2 linked regions of the Arabidopsis thaliana genome follow. The protein of the gene in region 1 interacts with the protein of each later gene in a pairwise test. Each region holds a gene or a part of one and is shown in the gene's direction. Other genes may lie near its edges.

Region 1 (6,820 bases):
GATCTTCAGTGTCACTTTTGTATAATTGGAATGTTTGTCTTTTGTATGAATTAACGAATTCATGATCAGAATTTTCCTTGATTTGGAGTCCTTAGATAAGTTGTTGTCGTATGTGTCGTTATATTCGACTTTCTTGTTCCAAGTTATTACCTTTTCCAACTGGTCTTGATGAGATAGATGAAGTTCTTTGTATTCAAATTTGGGTGATAAAGAGTTCTGTATTATCACATCTTCTTCCTATAGTTTTTATTATTATTATTGTTTTGCACGTGTTGTATGTACATCTGTCTTGTTAGTTATATGCGAATGCTTTTGCATTTTACAAAATTGGTTCAGCGACACAGTACATTAACAAGAACTTTCCTATGACAGGTGGACAAACAAGCATCAGGTAGCTTAATGACCTCGTTTCTCATTTCTAGATATGATGAACATATTGCATCTACTGTGAAGGAATGAAGAACAGAAATGCTCCATCAAGATTATACTGTTTTTGTTTTGCCCAATTTTCTAATGGTATTTTTGACAGGCCATACTGGCGATGCTATTTCCCGAATACACAAGCAGTGATCTATGTTGTTGACTCGAGTGATACAGATAGAATCGGGGTGGCGAAAGAGGAGTTTCATGCAATTTTAGAGGTAAAGTACTGCTGAGGCTTCCTCTTCTTATACTGTTGTATTATTTTGTGATGGACTTCTTGCATCCAAAAGTAATTGAGGTAAAACGATGATGATGTATATCGGTAGTTGAATGGAAATACAATATTGGTTCAGTTTCTTGTTTAGGACTTGTTATAGATGCTTGTAAGTTGTATATCAAGTATTGTTAGCCTTCTAATAGGTGATACTGAAATTGAAGTATCTCGGTTAGTACTGGACGGAAAGAACAAGTGATCATTTCTCTCTGTAGATCTTGCTAGCTAATCTTAAACTCTCAGCAACAATGCTTACTTGAGTTTACCTCTGCCACTGTCAGCATTTAACTCGCACTATCTTTTCAACTATGTTTTATAGGAAGATGAATTGAAAGGTGCGGTGGTTCTGATATTTGCAAACAAGCAGGTTAGTAGTCTCTAAATGTTTGCTCTTCCGATTAGTTTGGGCTGATTCATCTGGAAATCTGTATTGGTTTCTGTTGCTAAAAAGCTTTAGTTTGTTTTGCATGCACAAGACACTTTTTTGCTGATGAAAAATCTATAACTATTTGGTCTGAGTTTCATTAAATCGACTTAATTTAGGATCTTCCCGGTGCACTCGATGATGCGGCTGTTACAGAAGCCTTGGAGTTGCATAAGATAAAGAGTCGTCAATGGGCAATCTTCAAAACTTGTGCTGTGAAAGGCGAGGGACTTTTCGAGGGATTGGACTGGTAAGCACATTCTGAAACCGAACCATTTTCTTGGTCCCATTATTGAAACACTGAACCCATTTCTTTATGCATTTCTTCTCAAATATTCTTCTCTCATTTCCATCTTGATCTTCAGGTTGAGTAATACATTGAAGTCGGGAAGTGGCTAAAATCATCGTCATACACCAATCTGTCACATTTCTCAAGAGTGTAACTTTGATCATTTTTACTTATTGGTTTGTTTAGTATCTTTTTTTTATCTTAGTTCTTCATCTTAAAGAGTTAATATCAATGACATGTTCACTTAATATTCTCTTTTTGTTGTTTTGTTTCATTCTGAAAGAAAAAACCCAACACAGATTTTTGATTGAGACCCATAAGGGGTAATATCATCACTTTTTAACATGAAATATTGAACTGATTCCAGACGAAACACTGAATTGGTTCCAAGTGGTGTTTTTGCCGACTTGGATTCAGAAGCTCAAACGTTTGGGGTTTTAGAAGTCCTAATTTATGTAATTTGTCTGCTCCTTAATTAATGATAAAATTGTTGACACTATTATGCCATTTAGTAGATAGTAAGATTTTTTTTTAATGTTTTCAAAGAGGCAAAAATAATTTGCAAGGAATATATAGAACTAGCAAGATACTAGCCTAAGCTATTTGATTAACTTTCCTGCTAATAATGCTAGTATGCTACCAAAACAAAACACAAGCGATTTGTGAAGCTCTTTCTTAAAGAGTCCGGCTCGGCGTTTAGAGAATGTAACTTGACGGTGGCTCTCTTTCTTGATCTTACCATAGAATCTTTTATATGGCGGGTGTTGAGCAAATTAACTTAAACAAATTTGTTTTATTATCGTAACTCAATAAAAATTACGATTTCTAGTCATAAACAAAAGGCTGTACATAGCATTAGGCCTGCTACGGATCCGGATATCCGGGTTTTTTGGAGTATCTGGATCCGTATCCGTATCCGGCGGATATGTAGTTTTAGGATCCGCATCCGGATCCGTAAACCTCGGATATCCGGATTTCGAATATCCATGAAAAAACCGGATATCCGCGGATATTCGAGATCCGTTTATTTTTGGGAACAAATTCAATTTCCTATTTCACCAACCAGATTGAATTCACCACCAAAAGAGATCGACGTGTGCCCGACATCAGACTTTGCAAGGCACATACCACCAAGATCTCGTCTTTAACGGTGTCCAATCTGCTCCTCCTCATTCATCTCCGCCATCGACACTTTGAATCCCATGTATCATCATTCCCGTAAGTAAACTTCCGTCCATAAATTTACGACGGTGGAACCGAGATGAATATGGTGGGGAGACGGTGATGAAGATTACATGGAGATGAGATGGAGATAGTGAAGGAAATGGTGATGAAGGAAACATTCACGGCGGCAGAAAAAATATGTTATGAAACCCTAATAGTTAAGTCCCAAACAAACTCAAATTCCATCATTTTGTCGTAGTGGGCTAATATTGGACTATTGGGCTTAACATTGATAATGTGTATTTGATTAAGCCCAGGATACAAATATAACTTAAGCCCATAATACAAATATGTAGACATATTGAACGGATGCGGATATTCGGCTCTGATTTTTTTCATAATCTGGATCCGTATCCGGATCCGCCGGACTCGTATCCAGATCCGCCGGACTCGTATCCAGATCCGCCGGACTCGTATCCGGATCCGTCGCACCTAATTATTCGGTTTTCCGGATCGGATCACGGATCCGGATTCGAATACCCGCGGATAACGGATTTTAGTCCCAGGCCTACATAGCATCTACGGTAATTATTAACTATTAAGTAACCATGGGTAAATTCGAATTTCCTTGCCGACAAAAAGAAGGAACTTTCCATTCCTTTTGTGAAAGTCCGTGAGAACATGAACCCAAGTTAATACACCTTCACATGATTAGCCCCACTTCTCCTAAATGTCTCGTAAACTCCAACTATTCGGCTAAGATTCACTAACGTGTCATCTCTCTATTCGCTATTCCCAGATCTCCATGACCCACTTCACTCCCTGCGCGTCCGGTACAATCGCCACTTCCATAACACCAAGAGTCAATACAAAAAAAAAGCCGACTCCATTATTATCCCTCTCTCTACAAAAAAAACAGTAGAGAGAGATATAGAGAGCATCAATGGCGTCGTCGTCAAGACTTTGCGATTCGTGCAAATCGACGGCAGCAACTCTATTCTGCCGCGCAGACGCCGCGTTTCTCTGCGGCGACTGCGACGGTAAGATCCACACAGCTAACAAACTCGCATCACGTCACGAACGAGTTTGGCTATGTGAAGTATGCGAACAAGCACCAGCACACGTCACGTGCAAAGCTGACGCCGCTGCGTTATGCGTCACGTGCGACCGTGATATCCACTCAGCTAATCCACTCTCTCGCCGCCACGAGCGCGTACCAATCACTCCTTTCTACGACGCTGTAGGTCCAGCAAAATCCGCTTCCTCCTCCGTCAATTTCGTAGATGAAGATGGCGGTGACGTCACTGCTTCGTGGCTTTTAGCTAAAGAAGGAATCGAAATCACTAATTTGTTCTCCGATCTTGATTATCCGAAGATTGAGGTAACGTCGGAGGAGAATAGCTCCGGTAACGACGGAGTTGTTCCTGTGCAGAATAAGTTGTTTCTTAACGAAGATTACTTCAATTTCGATCTCTCTGCTTCCAAAATTTCTCAACAAGGATTCAATTTCATCAACCAAACTGTACGAATCTCTCTCTATCTTCTTAAGCTTCCATGGATCTGGAAAATTTTCAGATCTAGATCTGAAAGTTTGGATCTGATTTGAGTTTGTGAAATGTTGTTAGGTTTCGACGAGAACGATAGATGTACCGTTGGTGCCTGAAAGTGGAGGAGTGACGGCGGAGATGACGAACACGGAGACGCCAGCTGTGCAGTTATCACCGGCGGAGAGGGAAGCAAGGGTTTTGAGGTATAGAGAGAAGAGGAAGAATCGGAAATTTGAGAAGACGATTAGGTATGCGTCGCGTAAAGCTTACGCTGAGATGAGGCCGAGAATCAAAGGACGTTTTGCTAAGAGAACAGATTCGAGAGAGAATGATGGTGGAGACGTCGGAGTTTATGGCGGATTCGGTGTTGTTCCGAGTTTCTGATATTTTCCGGTGAAAGAAACATGGTAGTAGTATATCGGTTAATAGCAGATTAAGGATAATTAAAACTAAAATGTTTCCTGATTTAATCAGGGGCTAAGTTATTGTTAGAAGATTGTTGTTTTTTGAATTAATTCTCACAATTGTATCCTAAATTATATAGTTTACTTAATGTTGAACTAATAAATTTTGATTTACAATCTCTGTAAGAAATCGATATGCAAAAATAAATGAGTTGAGCTATTAAGATTAACATTCATATAGAACACAAACTCATACAATCAGCTGTGGTGGTGTCCGAGACTGCAAAATTCAAGAGGCGATGGAGGCCAACGTTGATGGTGAACGAGGCCAGATTCGAGAAGCAAAAACTTGTCACGCGGTTGAAGAGAAAGAGCATTTAAAGAAGAGGTGGTTGTGGGTTTCGATACCGTTAGAGCAAAGCACACAAGCTGCAGAGATATTCAGTCCCCAACTTATGAGCCTGTCTTTCTTAAGCAATCTACCTTTCAATGCAAGCTAAGTGATGAAAGAATACCTTGGCACTGCATTCTTGAACCAAACAACCTTATTCCAAGGAATCAAAGTAGAATGTGCTCGTAATTGCTCTCAAGTTTCCTTAGAAGAGAAAAATTGTGCAAAGAAACCAAACATTAAGATATTTAGTTATTAATGAAAATTCAAACATGAGAAAAAACTTAATCAAACGAAAGCAACACAAAAGAAGAAGAAATCTACATATTCTAAAATAACAAACCACTAATTCTCTTTTAGTAAATGGTATAACCTTGAAGGAGAACCCTTTCAAGTATTAGATAATCTAATCATTTTTCGTCGTCATTACTCATAAAGTGTCGAAATATCACTTCATATCAATTGGTTTGCGTAAAACTGACCATACGTCTTCAATGATTGTCATATCAAATGATTCGAAAAGTGTTGGCATATGCATACTCTAGTTTTCATAATGAATCGATTCTCAGACTCTTAGCAAACAAAGGAACATAACATCATCATAATAAAATTTTGAATGAAGTCAGAAACCGCAAATCAAAACTGTGAAGATATGAACTTGATAAGCAAGTTTAAAGCTAACTCAAGTTAATATAAGTTGAACTTGGGTTGAGTTAAATGCTTTTGGATCATAAAGGAGGGTGTCCACGATGTTGCAAGGGCTGGCACAAGTTAGGACAGTCTTCTCATCTTGTGTTTCAAGCAGCCACGTTTGGCGTTTCAAGATGCAACCTTTAAGGTTTACTTTAGCACAAGAAGCTCTAGTTTTATTATCACTATCAATTCACAACAATGTTATTGTGGCCCAGCAGTTAAGTCTCTGTTCCACTTAAGCTTTGACTTATAACTCTTGTAGTCACCTTCTTCTTCATAGTGGAAAGATGTGGATCGAAAGAAAGATCATAACCGGACGTAGCGGTTCGTTAATACCGTGAACCAGGTGAACAAATATTTGTGTGCTTCTCTCTTCTTCTCCCTTTCTTCTACTCTGTTATTTCCTCTTATTCTTCTCCATACTTTGCGTGATATGTTTTTCGTGAGTTGGTGTCAATGACAAAGAGCTGAAAGCTAGAGCCTTTGAGAGGTTAAAAACTTTATGTAATATTGTGACGACAAGATCTAAAAATATATGCGGGGATCAACTTAATATTTTTAAAATAAGTATATACATAAGAGATAAAACTAAGTATGCCATTATTTTAAAATTTAAATTTATCATGATATATTGTAATTAACAGTTTAAGTAATGGTAGCAATGTCCAAATGAATTGTGAACTGTCGGGATCAATGACATTGAAATTCTACAATTCATTGAAATATTATTGAGATAATATTATTCTTTGTGTCAATAGGAGGAGAAAAATATATCACCATTTTCGGATGTCAACCAACCGATTTTGACATTCAAAACATATTGTACAAAATATGCTATTACTAATAAAATTCAGTATAAATTTATCATTTTATTTGGTAGCAATTTCTACATAAAATCTGAACTTCCGAGATAAATGGCTTCAAAATTCTCAACCATATGGAATTTTTTTTTTTTTTTTTTGTGACATTAGGTGAAACTAAACCAAAATATATGAAAATAATTTCCTACATTTTATAAATTGAATTTTTTTTTTCTTCTAATTAACTGAATTGAGAAGGGGTTTTCAAGAGATGACAAGTACTACTCTTGTAAACAGAGAAGAAATACTCAAAGTTATATTCTCATTCTTAACCTTCTCATTACATAGCTTTATCTATTTATATGAAAAGCTAAGGGATACAATGGTTGAACTAGAGTTTTAGTAAATGTT
Region 2 (8,675 bases), 1.7 Mb from region 1:
AACTCTAATTTATAAGATAAATGTAATACATTGAACAACTGATTTGTTAAATTATAAAATATCTATCTTTGTAAAATATTCTTTTTTCTAAAAATGTTTATTTTTCAGAAAAAAAAAGAAATATAAATTTATGGGAATAAAACAACAGATTTTAAAATTTCTCTATTTTAGTTTATCGATCTTCTTTATATTCAAAGAACCGTTCTTGCTAAAACACTCTGTAAAAAAAAATGGCATATGATGTAACTTAAAATCTATCCGAATGGTAATGATAGAACTGTTAAAAATCAAATTTTCAATTGAAAACAAAAGGCTTTGTTTAATAAGGATGGGGTCAATTATATATATTTGAAGAAAACAATTGGTACTGTGATATTACTTTTAAAACGGAAAGTACGATGTAGTACTCATGAAACGCATGAAAACTAAAGATAAGTATTTGGTCGTACCGTTTTTTTGAGAATACTGCCGTCCTAAAATATGGGTACCTAAATAGTGGAGTAATACATAACAATGGTTTTTTAAAAAGAATTTGTAAATATAGGAGTACTGTATATTGAAGAAACAAACAATGTTGTGGAGTGAATGGGATACATAATGATAGGAAATGTCAAAATCATGGGAGCCAACTAATGTGGGAGGATCTTTAGGGAAAATGTGTGGAAGAAGTGCGTGTCTACATTGTGGCTTTTCCCATGTAACGAAACAAATCTACACCATAGATTTTATTGGTAAAACATGTATTTATTAGTTTCTTGTCAAATATTTCAACCACTTGCCTCATTTTTTGAATTATAACATCATTTTGTTTTGGCAAATATATAGTAGTAAGAATTTGCAATATTTTCCCTTCTAATGTTTAAGTTTTTGCTAAAATTAACGAAGATGTGTTTTTAAGACTCATTCCAAAACATTCGGTAAAGTTTTAAAATTTCTCAATAGCACCTTATAAAAACATTTTAACATATTGTAAAAAAAAATTCTTAATTAAAAATTGATTGACTTGTTGACATATTGTAAGAATTTTGGTAAAGATTATTCATTTGTTTCCTCAAATGTATAGTCATCGAATCACAAGTCACAACCCCTAAACATAAATTTTTTCAGCAACTGCATCCTAGAAAATATTATTTCAACAACCGCATCCAATTGAAATAAATTAACCATATTCATCTTCGAACTATTTATGTTAAACAATGAACATTTAATTTTCCACTTGTATATTTCCCTGTCGGCAAGGTGTCTACATTGCTTTCTTTTAAGATCTCCAGATATTTTAATGATACAAACAAGTAGCTTTGTTTATAACTATTCCTTGCATGATTGGTAATTTTAGCTAGGAATCAAATCACTAACGATACAATTATCATAATTTATAAATTATATGTTTTGATAAATGATTAAGCTAGTCTGTTACTATTTGATTAATCCTTTTATACTATCTCTATTTAGTGATTTTTCTCTCTTTTATCAACACATAAATAAAAATGTGACATATGAACGAATAGAGACACAAGTCTCCCACATTAAACTTCTATGCATTGATGATCCTCATACGGTTGGCTATGTCGTGGTACTATAATAAGTATCGAGCCACTAAAGATCAATTGATTGCACATCATATTTCATAGATGAATTAAGCAAAACTATCAAAATAGTCGATTATGGTTTCTCAATCATTAATCAATATAAAGAAAACTAAGTGAACAAACGACCATGCAAGAAAAACAAATAAGCAATAGGCAAACAACTATATGACATCAACTATTGATTAAGCTCGGGTTAAAGTGTTTCTCGTTGTAGCATTTTTAGTATTCAATTTATCCTAGGTTCTAGAGCTAGAAAATCATCCAAATGAAATAATATATTTTTTATGCATCTTTGTACATTGTTGTTCAAGTTTGAGATCCATATATTATTTTCAAGAATAAAAAACTTGGAGTTTAAAGTGTACATGTAATTTTTACTCTACATAATGTAAAGTAACGTTGTCCACATAAAATAAAAATCCATACATACGAGAAAGAGAAAACAGAAGAAAACAAAACTATATACAATACACAAGTTGTTAAATAATGAGAGAATCACGTGTTCTTCATGCACATGTAAGAGACTATGAAATAAGGATAACACCGTAGATAATATCTTATTGATCAAATGAAGCCTAATCTTTTTTTTAAGATTAGCGTTAAGACAGATATTCTCTATATTTGAGTAAATCCCAGCCGTTGGATCACTGACCTATACCTTATTGACCAATCCCAATCGTTAGTACAATGCCGTCCAAGAAAGAGAGCTTGCAATCGCATGTTTTAGATGTATGCTATTAACCCTAAATCCTCAATTTCTCGATCTCAATCTTGCTATGTGGTGGGTGATACATCAATGGTAATTGATATATTATTCTTTTATATATTTGTGGTTTTGTTAAAGAAGGTATCAAATCTGATGCTCTGAAAAAGTGTGATTTTTTTACTGGATTTTAGTCTATGTAAGTATGTATTATGGACAGAGTTTAAACTTGAATCCGAACCATTTAAGACCGGAAAAATTTCATGCTATTCTCAAACTAAAAGAAACGATTAACCATAATTAGATCTATTAAAAGTGGATACATCAATCAAATAATAATATGGGCTGTGATAATATAGTTGTATCAATACTCGGGACAAAAATGCAACACGCTACAATGGTAGATTCAATTATACCGTATGAATGAAAACATTGCATGTGGGCTACTTCTTACGAAGAGACATGTTCACTTCCAAAACTAGTACTAGTCAAATGATTCGACATAACCTGAATACCAAATGCTATATCAAAAATGGCAAATATTCAACTAATAACTAAAAAGAACAATACTTTTAATTTTCTTATTAAAAAAGTTCTAGATAATAACCTTTTGAGATTTGATTTTCGAAGATATTAATAACGGCAGATTACTAAATGCAAAATTACAAGAAAAAAATTTATATTATGTGATTTTCTAGTAAATGTCGATTCTACCGTAGTTGACTACGTGTTGGCGATGAATCTTCTGAGCGAATTTTCGGGAAAGTTTGACAACATCATCTATGTCATCAATCACCATCCCCCGCTTCACTGAGGCATGATCAATGCTCTCATGGTAGCATACAAAGTCAAACATAAGTCATACTCATCACCCACAATTCTACAACAATATGCTTATCATAGGACATTAAAATCAAGGACGAGGAAACTACAAGAGCTAAAGACATCGCGGACAAAACCATATAAGTAGTGGTTAATACAACAACCGTTCACTCATACGATTAGCACTATAATAACACCTCGGTCATATACACTAATCAAAAATACCAATCCACTAATCCTAGACCTATGACTCAAATACCATCTGCCCATGTCCAAGTCCAACATCCCATCCTCTAATGGCATACTTGGACCAATATCCATCAAGCCAAATTGGTGCACACACTCAATCTCAAAACACACCAACGTACATTCCTAATTAACTCATGCAATCAACACTATGTCACCCCAAAACCCAAACCAAACGACGTGAAAAAACATGTAACACACGAACCAAATCACATTTTACTCTTGTTAACATTAACGAATCAACTACACCTACAAAAATCTAATGTAACAAGCATGGGTTAAAAAAAACAATACTGCAGCGATCATTACTCTTGTTTTGGTCGGAACTAAAAGTTGATGTTTCATTTCATGTATTGTATTGTCTCCTTTGAAAACCAAAGCATTGACCAAAAGCAGTACGTACCGGCAAAAAAAAAAAAAAAAAAAACCGGAAACTTACTTAGCCGGTATACCACTGCCAAAAAAGGACCAACAACAATATGTTAAAATTTTATTATAAAGTTATTATACACATTTATAGTTACAGAGAGAGAAAAACAACTTTATTATAAATAATGATCATCCTCTAAAATTGGGTCTGAAATGTTCCCTCACACGTCTCCTTCTATCTTCTTCTCCACTTTAAAAAAAAAAAATATCCGTCTCACTCTCTCGCCGCCGGTAACATTTCCCGGCGACAAAACTTCTCTACTCTCACCATTCCTCCATCGTAATCTCTAAATTCTTCTCCATTCTCTTCTTCCTCCCGATCATCTCGAGCTCTTCGTGAGAGATTATGTGATTATGTAATCGTTGTTGCTGTAGAAGACGATCTCTAACAACTGATTCCTTCATCATCACCTTCGCTAGATTTGTAATTTTCAGAGCTTGAGATGTTGGATCTTAACCTCAACGCTGATTCTCCCGAGTCGACTCAGTACGGTGGTGACTCATACTTAGATCGGCAGACATCAGACAACTCCGCCGGGAATCGAGTGGAAGAGTCCGGTACATCGACGTCGTCAGTTATCAATGCCGATGGAGACGAAGACTCTTGCTCTACTCGAGCTTTCACTCTCAGTTTCGATATTTTAAAAGTCGGAAGTAGTAGCGGCGGAGACGAAAGCCCCGCCGCTTCAGCTTCCGTTACTAAAGAGTTTTTTCCGGTGAGTGGAGACTGTGGACATCTACGAGATGTTGAAGGATCATCAAGCTCTAGAAACTGGATAGATCTTTCTTTTGACCGTATTGGTGACGGAGAAACGAAATTGGTAACTCCGGTTCCGACTCCGGCTCCGGTTCCGGCTCAGGTTAAAAAGAGTCGGAGAGGACCAAGGTCTAGAAGTTCACAGTATAGAGGAGTTACTTTTTATAGAAGAACTGGTCGATGGGAGTCACATATTTGGTAAGTTTTTTTTTTTTGTTGTTGATGATAATACAAGTTTCTCGATTTAGTAATTTTTATCAGTGAGATTGATTCAATTTTTTTTTGTTTTGTAGGGATTGTGGGAAACAAGTTTATTTAGGTAAATTACAATTTTTGTTAAAATTTTGATGATTAAGATTATTGATTCATGGTTGTTGATTTATATAGGTGGTTTCGACACTGCTCATGCTGCAGCTAGGTAATTTTTGGATTATTATAGATAAAAGTTTTGTTTTCGGAATTGTTAAGGTTTGGATTTTGATTAGTGTTTGTGTTTTTGTAGAGCTTATGATCGAGCTGCTATTAAATTTAGAGGTGTTGATGCTGATATCAACTTTACTCTTGGTGATTATGAGGAAGATATGAAACAGGTTTTTGGATATAAGTCTTTTGTTTTGGTTATATGATTGTTTTGAGTAGTTTTTTTTTTAACTGTGTTATCTTCTTGTTTAGGTACAAAACTTGAGTAAGGAAGAGTTTGTGCATATACTGCGTAGACAGAGCACGGGGTTTTCGCGGGGGAGTTCGAAGTATCGAGGGGTTACGTTACACAAATGTGGTAGATGGGAAGCTAGGATGGGGCAGTTTCTTGGTAAAAAGTGAGCAATTTTGTTCTTTAATATGAACTTTTTGATTTTAGAAAGGGTATGAAACTAGGAATGGTGTCTAAGTAGTGGTTAGGTGATTAAGATGCTTGAATTGCAGGTATATTTATCTTGGGCTGTTCGACAGCGAAGTAGAAGCTGCAAGGTTCCTTAATGATCATTGTTTGATAGAAACCTTTAGTAGAACTTCACTTTGTTTTTATCAAAGCCAACATGAAGTTTCTTTCTTTCTAAACATTTTCTTGACAACAGGGCTTATGACAAGGCTGCAATCAACACTAATGGTAGAGAAGCAGTCACGAACTTCGAGATGAGTTCATACCAAAATGAGATTAACTCTGAGAGCAATAACTCTGAGATTGACCTCAACTTGGGAATCTCTTTATCGACCGGTAATGCGCCAAAGCAAAATGGGAGGCTCTTTCACTTCCCTTCTAATACTTATGAAACTCAGCGTGGAGTTAGCTTGAGGGTAACTAACTTTCAAATACCAATCTCTCATGAATTCAAAACGTACGTTTCTTATCGTCTTTTAAACAAACTGCAGATAGATAACGAATACATGGGAAAGCCGGTGAATACACCTCTTCCTTATGGATCCTCGGATCATCGCCTTTACTGGAACGGAGCATGCCCGAGTTATAATAATCCCGCCGAGGTAAAAACATAGAATCAAAGTGAAACAACACAATGTAGTCGCAAGACAATGAAACAATGTTTGTTTTTTCAGGGAAGAGCAACAGAAAAGAGAAGTGAAGCTGAAGGGATGATGAGTAACTGGGGATGGCAGAGACCGGGGCAAACAAGCGCCGTGAGACCGCAGCCACCGGGACCACAACCACCACCATTGTTCTCAGTTGCAGCAGCATCATCAGGATTCTCACATTTCCGGCCACAACCTCCCAATGACAATGCAACACGTGGTTACTTTTATCCACACCCTTAACTTGTAAGGGGACATATGAGAGTTTTTTTACCATCTCTCTCTCTCTCAACACTCTAGTCCCCTTTCAAAAATGTCATTTGGGTTTTAGATTTTTCACATACAATGATCAATTTTTCCAAATTCAGATGAGAAAATGTGTTTTTTTTTACATCAAAATTTGGTTTGTTGAGAAAAAACTTTATCAACTAAATGGTAAAAAAAATGTGTATGTTTGTGGTAAATTTTAAATCTTCTCAAAATGTCTTTACCTAATAAGGTTTGTTTATGTGAAAATATGTTTTTTTGGTAAGAGGACTCTTGAAATTTGGAAGGTACAATTTGTAACAAAAAATAAAATATGAGGATGAAGTTTTGTCGTTTTATGTGAAGGTTTGATAGTATAAGATATTTTGATTAAAATAACACTGTTGAAAAGAACAGTAAAGAGAGATAGTGATAGGTTTTGGCTGCCTCTTCGGAACCCCGAAACGATTTGGCAAAAACATTACATTCTTATTTGTATACATATTCGGATATAGTGCCAAATCTAAATGCTTATTCTATAGTCACGTGTGAAATGTATTGTACTTAACTATTCAGTGAGTCATGCATAATATGGTTTAAACTTTTGGAATAGATTAGATGCTCTGTATTTTCTAAACTATATCAACTAAACAAATAATTAGGAAATATTTTTAGTCAAATGGTTAACGGTAAGTCATTAAACCGAAACGTCCACAAATGACGAAGATCCTAGGATATTTGTAAAAATTTAGTACTTTTTAAAAACAAGGACGAAACATTCGAACTACTTTTTTTTGGGCTACGTTGGTTTTTTGTTATATAGTCAACAAAAAACTTAAAGAAAATGGTGTAGTTGTTATGCCAATTGTCAAGCTAAAAGAAAAATAAGAGATTCCCGATCTTCTGTTCTGTCAAATCAAATCTCTAAGTCTATCTACCGTTCCGGGTAATGTAATAATATTCAGTAAAGATGTCATGTCTTAAAGAAACTAAATTTATTATTCATAATATTCCAAAAATGGCCCTTTCCTATGACTCGTATCCTATGCCTTTACCAGTAATCTAAAAGCTCACATGTTTCCTTCTTTAAACATATCATTATCCTTCTTTTTAAGAATATATTAAGAATACCATTATCTTCAATCGACAATTTTCTGAACACAAAAATACTTTTATGATGAAATGTAATCATCTGATTTACAATATCATTAAAAGTATTGTAGATTTTTTAAAGGCATGCAAGATCATTAGTAATTCACGTGGGTTCGGCTATGTTTTGGCTAAAATGGCTATGTTTAATGTTAGTATAAAAAATCATCTTAATGGCAAAAATACCCGAAGGAAACGTATACCATCCACAACAAGCGGATCAACCAAATTATTTGGCGATATCAATATGTGTAATTTAGTGTAGACAAATTATATATATTACCCAATATACTACTTTCAATTATTATGGGTTCGGATTAGATTTAGAAGTGTTTGATCCAAATCTTACAAAAATATGTAAGGCTTAGTCAAACAGCTCAAAAAGATAAAAAAAAAAAAAAAAACAAGTAATTGTTTAAGCTTGAGTGTAATTTTACCTCAAAGAAACAAATTTCTAAGGGATTAAAACAAAATTATAGATCTATATTTTTATTTTTCCTATAGACGTGAATTGTGGACATGACAGAATCTGACCCAGATTGTATTTAACGTTATCTACGCTCAAGCAAATTGGGGCCAACTAAAAAGATATGGTATAGTTCCTATCAAATTAAATACGATGAGTAATGAATATTTTCTGACCACACCAAATACTTAATACATTGATAGAAAAAACTTATAAAATTGCGTAGGGTATATGATAGTCAAACAGGAACAAGGCAACAAATGCATAAAAGCAAAATAAATACGAATGATGACCTACATTGTCGGAGAGAATCCTTAATATAAACAATTGTATTTTTTTAGTGGCACAAAATGAGACAACGTGAGACGATTGTTAAAACATATTGGGTCCAATCCTTAAAAACATTATGTAATTTATTATTAGTATGTAACAGAATCAAAAGAGGTGTCTCTCTGCAAATTCATAAATATCTGCATTAAACTATATACGATTTTGTTTGGTGTAATAGAATAGTACTAAGTAACCCATCTTACTTTGTTTACTATTCATATCTTTTTGTCAGAACACAAAAGCACATTTAGAGTTATTAAAATAGTGATTATCTTTTCTTTATTGGTAGAAACCATGTTAATTAGTCAACTAATGATTTTTTAAATACAAGTTGTATACTTTTGGTGTTGTGATTTTGATATGGAAGCTAAAAGAAGATAGATCTTATGTTAACCTCGAAAATCCATATTT

What was found.
Region 2: the proteins of COL3 (region 1) and RAP2.7 interact in a two-hybrid assay, tested with the Arabidopsis thaliana proteins (one study listed by BioGRID).

The regions. Positions count from the first base shown.
Region 1 is NC_003071.7:10,563,442-10,570,261, forward strand, and holds COL3 (CONSTANS-like 3), read left to right. Parts: upstream 1-3,394; 5' UTR 3,395-3,517; coding exon 3,518-4,096; coding exon of another isoform or gene 4,097-4,180; exon of another isoform or gene 4,181-4,182; intron 4,183-4,199; coding exon 4,200-4,505; 3' UTR 4,506-4,704; downstream 4,705-6,820. Other genes in the region: ARF3 (ADP-ribosylation factor 3), read left to right, coding at 373-391, 530-641, 1,017-1,064, 1,241-1,371, 1,487-1,520; AT2G24780 (uncharacterized protein), read right to left, coding at 2,240-2,398.
Region 2 is NC_003071.7:12,223,809-12,232,483, reverse strand, and holds RAP2.7 (uncharacterized protein), read left to right. Parts: upstream 1-3,859; 5' UTR 3,860-4,232; coding exon 4,233-4,744; intron 4,745-4,839; coding exon 4,840-4,865; exon of another isoform or gene 4,866-4,893; coding exon of another isoform or gene 4,894-4,933; coding exon 4,934-4,964; intron 4,965-5,048; coding exon 5,049-5,136; intron 5,137-5,218; coding exon 5,219-5,364; coding exon of another isoform or gene 5,365-5,368; exon of another isoform or gene 5,369-5,470; coding exon 5,471-5,515; coding exon of another isoform or gene 5,516-5,622; coding exon 5,623-5,842; intron 5,843-5,917; coding exon 5,918-6,028; exon of another isoform or gene 6,029-6,100; coding exon 6,101-6,316; 3' UTR 6,317-6,828; downstream 6,829-8,675.